Drosophila melanogaster: one gene and its partner. Changing the gene in region 1 together with any one later gene gives a genetic interaction. Each region holds a gene or a part of one and is shown in the gene's direction. Other genes may lie near its edges.

Region 1 (7,599 bases):
TTAATTATAGAAAATTAAGCAATTGCCCGATTTGCATGCCAAAAGGTTGATAAGAAATCGAGCAAAAAACAAGATGAAGTGCACCACGGGTTCTCGAGCGCTGGCCATGATGAGCATCGCATCACATATAATATATATATATTATATATGTGTACTTGGATATATATCGCAGAACATATAAAGTGTATTTTAAATACAGCTAAAGTGTAATTATCAATTCATTTCGAAAGCAAACTAACTATTACAAATGGAATAGATTAGACCGCAAGGGTGTACTCTAAGCGACGAGCAGCATAATTGATTTTAATCACAAGAATTTAATTAATTAAATAAAAGCCTATATACAAATATATATATAAAAAGCCAAAAAAAAAAAAAAAAAAAAAAAAAAAAAAAGAACAAACACCACTCGTTTTAACTTAATGCCCTAGCTGGGAGTTTATTTATCCACATATACAAATTGTGCTGGAATCGAAGCAGTGCCTTAGGTAGTTAGCTAATTCGCGAATGGGTGTGGTTATTATCATATCTAAAGATCGTCGAAAGAATCCAATCCGCCGCCCGTCTCCTTGCCAAGCTTCGCCTTATCCTGACTCTCGGTCCAAGCTTTGGCGATCATCTGCTTCGTCTTGGAGTCACCGTCGTTGTACATCTTCTTCATGATGTTAACAAGCGCCGATTCGGGATTGTCGCCATCTTTGGACAATTCGCTGTCCTTCTTTTGCTTCAAACGCTTCTGGATAGCGGTGAGCACATCCCAGTGCTTGTCCTCAACCTTCTGCAGATAGATGGCCACCATGTCGGTCTTGATCTTTCGGTAGCTCTTCTCCACATCGATACTGTGCAGCAGATTGTTTACGGTCAGCCCAAAGTCCTTGCCCTGAAGATCGCGCACATGGAGCTGCAACGAGTTAGGTGTGTAGGTGACTGTCACATTCTCCTCCGTGCAGCCCTGCACTCCGTTCAAGGTGATGAAGAGCTTCACGAACTTGGCGCTCTGGTCCCAGCCGTAGTCGGTCAGCTCGTGCAGATATCTGGGCGATCGAAATGGGGATTCATTAGTGGGGCTTGCATGGTTTAAGAAATCTCTGCCCATATATAGTGATGTAGAAAGATGTGGAACTACATTTGGGATATGGACTAATCCCGAAGAGATTTTGTGTTTCGGTCGATTGGGTGTTGGGTTTCTTGGACCTCATGGATTTGCTCACCTCTTGGCTTCGCTCGACCCGGTGGCCTGTCGCTCTGCCGCAATTTTGGCCTTCAACTCCAGATTGACAATCTCCCGTTCCGCCTCCGCTTTAGCGGTGGTCAGCACGTCTTTTACGCGGGCACCTTTCGCCTGCTGCAGGAAGGCCGCCAGCTCGGCCACATCGCTTTTCAGCTGTGTTATTCGATGGGTGTGGGGTTATTTCACTGATGGCTCGTTTTTCAACAACTCGGACTTACCTGTTCCAATGACATTTTGTTTTGTCTGAATAACAGTTGATTAATTTTGTAGGTTCGCAGAAATTTCGAGCAATTCAATGACGCCGGCGCCCGTGGTGAATGTACTAAAAAACGATTAACGCGTGGCGAGCACGGAGCACACTGCGAAAAATACTATTTCACGGTATTTTCAGTATATCAAGTGCCAGCTTTGGTGCACAAAATGTTACATTTAATTATTAAATGTATATATTACTACGACAAAGGGTTGTTTTGTTTTAGAGCTTACTAATGTCAAATTAGAAATACGTGATATTTGAATCCAAGAATGGGCAGATGACTAGTAAATCATGATCCATTATTAATTGATATGATTTTTGTTATAAACTTCTACTTCCGCCGGAAAAGCGATTTTCCCGCCAAACCAGGGTGACCAGTTGGAGGCAGCACACAAGCAATTTTGGTATTACATCCCCGGCGGACGGCGAGCACACTGATCCATAATCTCGAAAAAACCATCGATGGCATCGAACCGGCTGGAACTGAACCATCGATATTATCAGTAGCGCCATCGATGGTTTGATAGCACCTCAGCTCCCGCGGAACGCCGACCAGAACACACGATTCAGACAATACGACCAGTGACCAGAGTTGTTCATGTGCTCCATCCAGGGTATCCACATACAACCAACGGACGCTGCGCCACAGCCAGAGTTCCGGGATTAAAAGGGCGGCGCAGCAGGACTCCGGATTGGAAACAAAAACTATCCAAGTGAGTAGAGGAGTTGTCATCTCAGTTACTGCTGCCGCTCGTCCATACGGCAAATGTCAAAACTGTTCAACCGTTCGGAAACACTTTGCTTTACACTTTGGCCTGGCCGAGAACAGAAATTTTTTAATAAAAAAAATTCCGTGTCAAAATTTGCTCTTTTTAGGCACTTTTTTTTTCTGTAAAAACCGCCATAAAACCACCACAAGCACCATCAATACGCCGATGCCCAAGAAGATTGTGCTCCTGAGGAACAATGGCCGATCGAGTTATGTGCCAGGAGTTGGCCACACCAGGCAGTCACTATCGTCGCCCCAAAACGGGAGTGCCCAGCACCAATGTGGTGTACGCCAATGGTGGCGGATCCTGGCGTGCGGCGCCAAGGCAAACCCAAAGGCTGCCGCGCCAGACCGTTCAGCAATATGCCACCGGCACTCCGGCAACTGGAAGCGCGGGCAGGCATTCGGGCAGAGCATTCGCCACTGCGGGCGCCACCGAGGAGCAGACAGTGGAATTCAATGGAGCTGCAGTCATGGGTCTGCCCGCCACGCCGCGTACAACCAAACAGGCACGCAACAAAAGCGAAGGTAAGTTCAGTTGCTGATCCAACTTGTTAGTGCATACAGATGAATTTAATTGGTTGTATTTTGCTGCAGAAGCCATCAATGATCTCCTCACACGAATCCCGGACATTGGCAAGCTGTTCGATGTTCACAGCCGGATTGGCAACGGAACCTTTAGCACGGTGCTGCTGGGCACACTGCGCCGGGAATCGCATCTGCCGGACAGTCTGCGTCGCAAGTTCGCCATCAAGCATCACATACCAACCAGTCATCCGGATAGGATAATGAAGGAGTTGCAGTGCATGACCAAAATGGGGTAGGTTCCTCATTTCGTTTCCCCACTTGGTGTCCTGTGTCCTTTGCCCTCCCGTATCCTTATAGTATCGCCCGACTGGTTGTAAACCAAACAACCAACCACCCACCCCACCCACGCACGCCGCTTCGTCCCCTCGTCTGCGTCAAACGCCGTTAAACGACGTCAGCCGCCGGCAGCGGCTCCATCTACGTCATTGCAATTTATATTTCGCCGCACGAACGGCAAGCGAGATGGCATGATTGTTGTAGCGTTCGTTTATTGCACTTTCACACGCCATTCACGTGCCCATTTACAGTTACATTGAAGCCCACGGTGCACAGCGAGAAAAATTCGCCACCTTTCTCTGCATTCATTTACGCATTTCACATCACTTTTATATCCGAAATATGTTAGATCTGAATACATTTCGCATTTGTTTATGCAAAATCGCATCTGCCAGTGCACAGAGAGAAAAGAAAAGAGTTCGATATCGCTGTGATATGATAAGTTCCAAAGAAATTATAAATAAATAGGAAGTTCGAGTTCGAGTTCGAGACTCACCTCTGCTCAATACATTAAACCATTTTCGCATATCAAAATGCCATATTAGCTAATCTATACAATATATATCCAAAATTTCTTTCCGTGTGGCAGCTGTAACGTTTGTTTACAGCCCGCGCACATCACACATGCGTGGTTTTCAATTCAGACTGTTGTAGCATATCCTGCAATCCCAGCCGCCGGTTATCGATTGCCCAGAGCAATGGCCAGGTGATTAGATTAGCTACTCGTATTAGATGGGCAAATCGGTTCAATACCGCCTCGAACCGGAGGAGTTTTGGGTTGGCAGGTATCGTCGCCGGTCAGCTCATCGTCCGGCTGTATAATTTACCCCAAATTAGAAAATTAGAAAGAGGAGAGAGTGGGCGGTCAGTGGGTATTTTGTGTGTGTGTGTGTGTGTGTGTGTGTGTGGGCGACGTTGCGTGTTTGACATAAGCCGGCTGCCCGCCCCCTGATTACCCATCGCCCACCGCCCAACATCTTTGCCCCTCGTAGACCCACTGCCCGCTGCGATTTTGTGTCTATTCAAGCAATTTGCGCAAATTCCGCAGACCCAATTGCGTCACAGCCGATGATAATTATGACTGGGCCATGCCGAGTGCTCCCTCACGTATTCACATATGCCGCTTGCCATGTTCCGCACCCGAAGGCCCAGCGCCCAGTTCGCAAATCGCATCTGCCGTATCGCCCATCGCTCACCGTCGAGCTGCGCGACTAGCTAGAAAGTAGCTAATCAAATCAACTGTTTCTAAGTTACACCGAAATCAACATTCCACGCAGACATTTTAAGTAATGGAAATATATATGTAAATAACTTATACTATTATAAACAGTAGTAAAAACTGTCAAATTAGGTTGTACGTTGTATATTCCATATATGTCACAAATATTCAGCTAAAAATAGCTAGAAATCAGGTCCGCACTGGTTCTACGTGACGTCGAAGAATCACTCTCCCTTTCCATTCCTCTCTCCCTCTGTCTCTCTCTTTCTCTCACTGAAATGGAGTGGGCGGAAGTGTGCGTGGGCGTCTCTGTTGTTGTTGTGGTTTTCCCACACGGAACAACAAAGCAACATAAACAAGATGGTAAAGCTGACTTGCATAAATCCTGCTGTTCAGTTCAATTAATTTGATGTGTGACTAGCTTAATCACATTAACTACCCTTAAAGTTAATCAGGGTTGGTGGACACCTGTTGCTCAAATCACTGGTTGGGAATTACAGCCAAAAGCTGCGTATTCAAACTATAACTGCATAACTAATCTATTGTTTTCCCGCTCTAATTCGCTTCTCAGGGGAAAGGAGAACGTGGTGGGCATCCACTGTTGCATGCGTTATGACGCCTCCGCCGCTTTCGTGATGCCCTTCATGGCACATGACCGATTCCAGGACTTTTACACGCGCATGGATGTGCCCGAGATCCGGCAGTATATGCGCAATCTCCTGGTGGCACTGCGTCATGTCCACAAGTTCGATGTCATCCATCGCGACGTGAAGCCGAGCAACTTTCTCTACAATCGACGTCGGCGAGAGTTTCTCCTCGTCGATTTCGGTCTGGCCCAGCATGTGAATCCTCCGGCTGCGCGATCTTCCGGAAGTGCCGCCGCCATCGCCGCAGCCAACAACAAAAACAACAACAATAATAACAATAATAATAGCAAACGGCCACGAGAGCGCGAATCAAAGGGGGATGTGCAGCAAATTGCGCTGGATGCTGGTTTGGGTGGAGCAGTGAAGCGTATGCGTTTGCACGAGGAGTCCAACAAGATGCCCCTGAAACCGGTCAACGATATTGCGCCAAGCGATGCGCCGGAGCAGTCAGTAGATGGGTCCAATCACGTCCAGCCACAGCTAGTGCAGCAAGAGCAGCAACAACTGCAGCCGCAACAGCAGCAGCAACAACAGCAGCAGCAACAACAGTCGCAACAGCAGCAGCAGCCGCAGCAGCAGTCGCAACAGCAGCACCCACAACGACAGCCACAACTGGCGCAGATGGATCAAACAGCATCGACGCCATCTGGCAGCAAGTACAATACGAATCGAAATGTCTCGGCAGCAGCGGCTAATAATGCCAAGTGCGTTTGCTTTGCAAATCCCTCAGTTTGCCTCAACTGTCTGATGAAGAAGGAGGTGCACGCCTCCAGGGCAGGAACACCTGGCTATCGGCCGCCCGAGGTTCTGCTCAAGTACCCAGATCAGACCACTGCCGTGGACGTTTGGGCGGCGGGTGTGATATTCCTTTCGATCATGTCAACGGTGTATCCGTTTTTCAAAGCGCCCAACGATTTTATCGCGCTGGCCGAGATTGTAACAATATTTGGAGATCAGGCGATACGGAAGACGGCCTTGGCTCTCGACCGTATGATCACCCTGAGCCAGAGGTCCAGGCCACTGAATCTGCGAAAGTTGTGCCTGCGCTTTCGCTATCGTTCCGTTTTTAGTGATGCCAAGCTCCTCAAGAGCTACGAATCTGTGGACGGAAGCTGCGAAGTGTGCCGGAATTGTGATCAATACTTCTTCAACTGCCTATGCGAGGATAGCGATTACTTGACAGAGCCACTGGACGCATACGAATGTTTTCCACCCAGCGCCTATGACCTACTGGATCGCCTGCTCGAGATTAATCCCCATAAACGAATTACCGCCGAAGAGGCACTAAAGCATCCATTCTTTACGGCCGCCGAGGAGGCCGAGCAGACGGAGCAGGATCAGTTGGCCAATGGAACGCCGCGCAAGATGCGTCGACAAAGATATCAAAGTCACAGAACGGTGGCCGCCTCACAGGAGCAGGTCAAGCAGCAGGTTGCCCTTGATCTGCAGCAAGCGGCCATTAACAAGCTGTGAAACTAGTCCCCACCATGCAAACATACATACACCACTTGTACATACATACATATACTATACCCAGTTCGCTGATCATGATTGTACATATATATAGACCCACCTCAAGAGCATATCTCATTATTGCACCCAGAGCCAGAAGAAACTCGTCCAATGCCCCACTAGGCCACATTTACTTACCTCAAGCCGCAGGCAGATAAAACCAAATGAAACCACGCAACAAACACACACAACACTCACAAACAAACATACAAATGTATATTTAAAGAAATGTTTCAATCATGAACAAAATGGGCAAGGAATACCAAAAAAGCAAACGAGGAGAGATTGATTATGAAATATTGTGGCCGAAAGGCTACAAAATGTTGTATATTAAGGAACACGAAGGCGACCCAAGTGCATGGCCCTCATCGCCCAGTGGCAAAGAATTTTGCACTATCCCCATCATGTATAGTTCGAATAGTCTTGTAGCTAACCTACTTAGGTATAATTATTGTATATCTGAAAACCATGTGAACGAGGATATAAGAGCGACAAATACATATATTTATACCGTGAAGATTGAATGAAGGCCTTGATTTTCTTTGCTCCAAAAATGGAAATTTGTGCAAATTATTCTTTATTTGCTTAAACAAACAAATGCTTGGGGATTTTAGTACGCATATTGTTGTTACCGTACGTTAAATTATTCATTATATTTCAGTTGCAAATATAGGACTCATAAAATTAAAGTGTAAATTTAAATGACTCACCCTTTTCAAAATAAATCCATGCAATTAAAGTTGTACATTATTTAATTTCACATTTATTGAGCACAAATCACCTAAAAAAAAATATAAAAAAAAACACAAATACTCTCACATTTTGATGAGCCATTTCACAACAAAACACTCGCGATGGCAAAATGCACAAGATCACCGCTCTAAAACGTAGCATACTCTTAAGTGCACATGAGAATGCCAGTTGAACACGCACCAACACACCCACACACGCGCCAACGGAGAATGAGCCCAAAGGAGAATGAGGAAATTGCAGAAATTTACCAATTTCACCCGTTTAAACTAGAAATACCGTATCAAACGCATTGCGTCGACCTGCGCTCACTGGTTAATTACACTTTGTAGCACTTTTCGACAGCAAACG
Region 2 (5,127 bases), on another chromosome or scaffold:
CAATAAAATGTGTGAGAATTTTACCGTTGGGTGAGGTAAAACCATTTATTTTATGTAAAACTCACATAAAAATGTCCAAAAAGATTTGTATATAAACTTTGATAGACTTAATGCTATATAACGTCTAAAAACGTTTTTTTTGACACAATATATAGAAGGATACTCATGCTGGTCTAAATGCACAAACTGAAGATTTCTTAAATGTATTCGTGGCGGCAGATTGGCGCTTAAACTATGATTGGCATGGTACAATTATTAAGTACTTGGTTTCGATTTAAGTACAACCTGTGTATATAAAGGGACGGGAATCGGCGTTTTAAAATGTAGTGCAAAATTCGAGGCATCACGAAGAGTTCGTCTGTTAGTACGATTCGGATTCTTAATGCAAATTGGGTTGCGTGAAGACGGTATAAAAAAGATCGCTAAATTCCCTTGGATTTCGAAAGAAACAACCAGGCAACGTGACTCAATTGCCACAATTTGGCTCTGTCCCACAAAAAAAATGAACAGAGAACAAAGCGGTGAGTAAACGGCTAAAACTACCTGCATTAAAAGAAATAAAAAAAGGCCAAAGATGCAGGAGGGACAAGGAAAAAGGGCCAGAGGACAGGCCAAACTTGTTGAGCCCGGGATTAAGAGAAACAACAGATAAAGAAACAGTCGGGGATGCGTAGGAAACCCAATTTACAATTATGAATGATTAATTCCCTTTCCAGCGAACTCCTCAACTGGTTATTGCTATGTGTAGTACTGCTTTGTTACGAAATTCGGTCAAAATATGGGAAAATTCTTTCAGAGCATTTCGGAACTTCGAATATGTTAAAAAAGTAATTACTTTCCAGTAATGCGAAGGGTATATAGAGATAAAATTCGAGATATTTCTTTTTAAAACTTAGGACCTAAATCTGTAGTCATACTAATGGGTTTTCGTTTCTGGCTGGCATTTAAGTCTTTTTCGCGTTACTAAATTGAAGTACTACTAAACCACTATCCTCCAGGTGTCCACACCCCGAATCAGGCCAACGTATGATGGTGTTTCTGGTCGGGATAGTTCTCTATGGATTGAATGGAGCGCGATGTGGCGGCAGTAATGGTTGAAGATACGTCCATAAACCGATATTTCTTGTCATCGCGACAGAGTAAGGGGTAGCAAATGATGCCGTAGTAGAAGACGAGGCAGAGAACGATTACGGTGAAGATGATGGCGATGATGCCGAATGTGGAGATTCCGGGTCGACTATCCAGATACTCCTTGGCCGTCTGCGGGGGCTGGGTGGTGGTGGGCGGTTCCGTGGCCTTGTAACCCCTTCGATTGTTCCGCGCTGCACTCGCACTGAAAACCAAGCAGCTGGCGCCTGCAATAACGAGATGCGTATCCGTAAAATCTGATCGCGAGGCGATTTCTTCATTTCTTCTCCCTCTCTTTCGCTCACCTAAAAACAGCACACACAACAGGTACGAACTGCGAGACATTTTTAATTTATTTCGAATTTACGATTGAGCACGAACGCGGGGCGAAATCAGTTCGTTGGCACGAGAACGGGACGCAGACGCAGAACAGAGACTCGAGAATCACACAAAGCAACAAGAAAGCAAGACAAAAACCTTTCGCGTTGCTGGTAGGGACGGACTGTCGTTGCCTATCGATACATGAAGATAGCCATCGCTGTCGATGTTTCAAATCGCAATTACAAATTTTAAATTTATGGTATATATCATAGATTCATGTTAACAAAATTGTAAGTACGTTAGTGTATATTTTTAAATGAAATAAATAAATTCAATGAATAATTAATGTCTCTCGTCACGAAAAACGAATCAATATTAAACTAGACCTTTTTTAAAACTGCTAATCCGTGACTTTTTCCCTTAAAACGATATGTGACCGCGACTCAGTCACGCCGCTTAGCAACCATCGACCATCGCCAGCCAACATAGTTATCGATAACACGACGAAAATTTGGTTGCCGAGCGTGTGTGCGCTGCCCTGTCCGTGTACACTTTATTTTCAATTGGTGAAAATTGTTATAAAACTAGCGAGGAAATATGTGAAAATAAGAAAAGGCCCAATTTCGACACTCGAACTGTGCGTGCACAATCGAATTGGCGACCATCCGACCGCGAAAACCTGATAAAAGGCATAAAAATAACAAAGGCGTTAGCAAACGAACGACGGGCGAACGAAGGCATATAGACGCTTATACCGATCGTTCCCATACAGTTGTGTATATTTAGTCATTGCAACTGATTAACTTGACGCAAGTAAATGCAAGTATAAACTCAAAAACGGCCAACGCAGAGCAAAAGTACAGTGAAAATTGGTCGATTGTCGGCGCACGAAGACGAATACGAACAAAAGGAAGAAGAAGCGAACGAAACAAACGAGAAAGAGAAACCAAACGAACGGCGATTTTGCATTCGTGTGTGTGTTTGTATGTGCTCGAGTGCGCGCGCGTGTGTATGTGTGAGGGTGGAATATAAACAAAAAATAATTAACAATACGAATATCAAGAACGATTGCTCTACTTGGCGAAAAGTAAAATGTCACATTTGCCACTAGATGCACGGGCCATTCTCCAGTATCTAAATGATTTGGGCTATAGGAACATATCAGCCGAGCAACTCCGTGAATTTCTAAAAGGTAAGCAATCCGTACAAGTGTGCGTGCGTGTGTGTGTGGGATTGTTTTTGGTTTGTTATTTTGTATGCACAATTTTTTTTGGTTGCGGCTTTTCAAACTGAATTTCAAACGATTCGTCACCATTTCAATTTGTTTTTATTTCCAAAACGAACGTGCGTACAAAGCACAGACAAGAAAAAGAGCAGCGGCACAGGCAGAAATACGGAGCAATGGAAAAAAGAAAATATAAAAACGAGTATTACTTGGAAATTGTGAATAACACACTATACATACCCATGGCACAGTGGTTTGCAGCAACAAAATTCATTCGGACCAAAAATTTAGGAATAATCGAATAAAGGCCGGCCCGACATCGAAGGAAAACTGCTTTGGCAAGGTTCACGTACTGTGGCATAAATACATTTCAGTGGAAATCCTAAACACACGGCTCTTGTGACCCCACTGTTCTGTGTGTTTTTTGTACTTGGCTTGCTAGTCATAGTTGTTGTTGCTGCTGCCCTGGGCCTGCTTTTCTGCGTTTGCTCGTGTGTTTCGGCCTCCACCACATTGTAAGCTTCATCCGCAACTTCACATGAATTTTATCCACAAACATACATATGTACGCATACAGCAGCGGGTAAAGCGTTAGGGAAATGTCGATGTGCAATTTGAATTTGTAATATTAATAGAAAAATTGTCTTACGGAATATATTTTATTTACCTAATGCACAAAACTCATTACACTCATTAAAATGTCTATTTCGGTTATTTTAAATTGAAAGTGCTATAATTTCCACCGCAACTGTATGAATTGTGTGTGTGTGTTGTTTTTTTCCCTCCACTCTCTTTTTGTGTTTTGTGCGTTTTTCGTGTTATTTTTCGCTTTACTCCTTGTGTGCTCCTACTCTTTTTCTTATTTTTCCTTAGTTGTTGTTGCTACTGCTACCGCTTGAGGGTTGCCACTAGGGTTTCTTTCGTTTCTCTTTGCGCCAACGTTTCGTTTTGTAATGGCAAATATAAAGCGAGGGCAGAAAAAGTGCCAGCGCAGCGCTGATGTGCTCGTTTTTCAGGTTATATATATATTGACGCGCGTCAGTGCATATTGGCTAGGCATACAATTTATTTGCAAGTATTTACGAATGTGTTAGTACTGTGAACGGCAGGGTTGCCGGACTAATTGTCATTATGAGTTTAATATCGGTCATCGGCCATTATGGCTTTGTCAGCTCATTCGCATTGTTTTTTTGGGAGACGTAAAAAACCAAAACAACAAATATGAATGGAATGTGATAAGCCATATTGCGCAAATTAGCAAGAAATACAACGATAAGATGCATAATTATATTTGTTAGGGTTGACTTTATAAAATTAAATAATAATAGTATAAATAAAGAAAGTACAATTTATTAAATAGAGCTTATATACAAGCCGAGGTTAGTATGAGTGATTAAGAATAAGTGTCATCACCAACTGTTTTTTTTCTTGAATCGCTATTCTTCCACATTTGTTTTTTCGTGCCTGTTTTGTAAATATAACTGGTTTTTAATCAAATGCAACAATACAGTACAATTATGTTGCAGCTGTGTCACCCCTAATTTTTTCGCGTGCTGGCAACGCCTCGCTAAGCGTAGCCCCCCGACCTGGCAGCGCTATGCTGCAGCACAGCTGCTGCTTCTTCTTCTTCCACCCGCTTGGGTCGTGTTTCTGTGTTCCATTTAGTTTGGAATTAAAATAAATTAACTCACACTTAACACTCGATGGCCTTTTAGGCAATACATACCGAAATGCATCCAAGTGCAGTTATTGATTTGATTTGTGTGTATCCGAATGCAACATTGCATAACACACATCGGGAAACGTACAAGGAACAAGAGGAAGAAGAACCACCGGGAGTAGGATTTCCCCCACAGTGATTTATTTGTTTTTATATCATTTTTCGTGGCAAACAAGTTTAAAACGCGGTTGGTGTTGGATTTCCAGCTACGGTCGAATTTTGAATAAAAATTAAAAACTAAACCAATTATATCAATGGTTATAACTACAGCTTTAGACTGGTATAACTTTGTTCCAACTAAAATTGGAGGGAAACTTTATAGGAGTGGTTCTTGTTTTTAATAAAATGTTTTTAAATATTTGTGTTACTGAAACATTTTATAAGAACATGTACAACGTATTTGGATGTAATAAGTTGGAAATTAATATTACTTAAGTTCAATTTTTTTTTTTTTGTAAATAATCATTTTTATGGTCTGATTTTTAAATTTATTTTTGAGTGCAATGGTAAAATCTTAAGTTTCATTAAATTTAACTCTACATAAAGCATACAGTTATTTTGTACTTTGTGAATTTGGTAGAATATTGCCAAAGCTTTAATTTGTTAAAATTCGACTGTAGCTCAGCTCTTCAAAATAAATTTTAATTAATGGCGTTTTCTGCAATTTCTTTTCTCTTTAATTCTGGGTCCGTTGGCTGCAGCTAATTTGCGCCAGAAGGTATGCAACCGCAGT

Evidence for each region.
Region 2: of Cdc7 (region 1) and chif, changing one enhances a phenotype caused by changing the other (phenotypic enhancement), as found in Drosophila melanogaster (one study listed by BioGRID).

What each region holds. Positions count from the first base shown.
Region 1 is NC_004354.4:6,652,697-6,660,295, forward strand, and holds Cdc7 (Cdc7 kinase), read left to right. Parts: upstream 1-1,844; 5' UTR 1,845-2,200; intron 2,201-2,363; 5' UTR 2,364-2,453; coding exon 2,454-2,784; intron 2,785-2,853; coding exon 2,854-3,076; intron 3,077-4,910; coding exon 4,911-6,459; 3' UTR 6,460-7,013; downstream 7,014-7,599. Other genes in the region: CG3226 (uncharacterized protein), read right to left, coding at 530-1,034, 1,212-1,384, 1,450-1,464. UniProt on the Drosophila melanogaster protein: Catalytic component of the Dbf4-dependent kinase (DDK) complex. Phosphorylates components of the pre-replication complex, including Mcm2 and, to a lesser extent, Mcm4. Phosphorylates histones, including H3 and H2B.
Region 2 is NT_033779.5:16,349,441-16,354,567, reverse strand, and holds the start of chif (chiffon), read left to right. Parts: upstream 1-1,939; 5' UTR 1,940-2,541; coding exon of another isoform or gene 2,542-2,641; intron 2,642-4,284; exon of another isoform or gene 4,285-4,581; intron 4,582-5,095; 5' UTR 5,096-5,114; coding exon 5,115-5,127. Other genes in the region: CG4455 (uncharacterized protein), read right to left, coding at 1,015-1,355, 1,434-1,473; Hyls1 centriolar and ciliogenesis associated, read left to right, coding at 2,542-2,641. UniProt on the Drosophila melanogaster protein: A bicistronic gene producing two proteins that are components of different complexes and have separate properties and functions.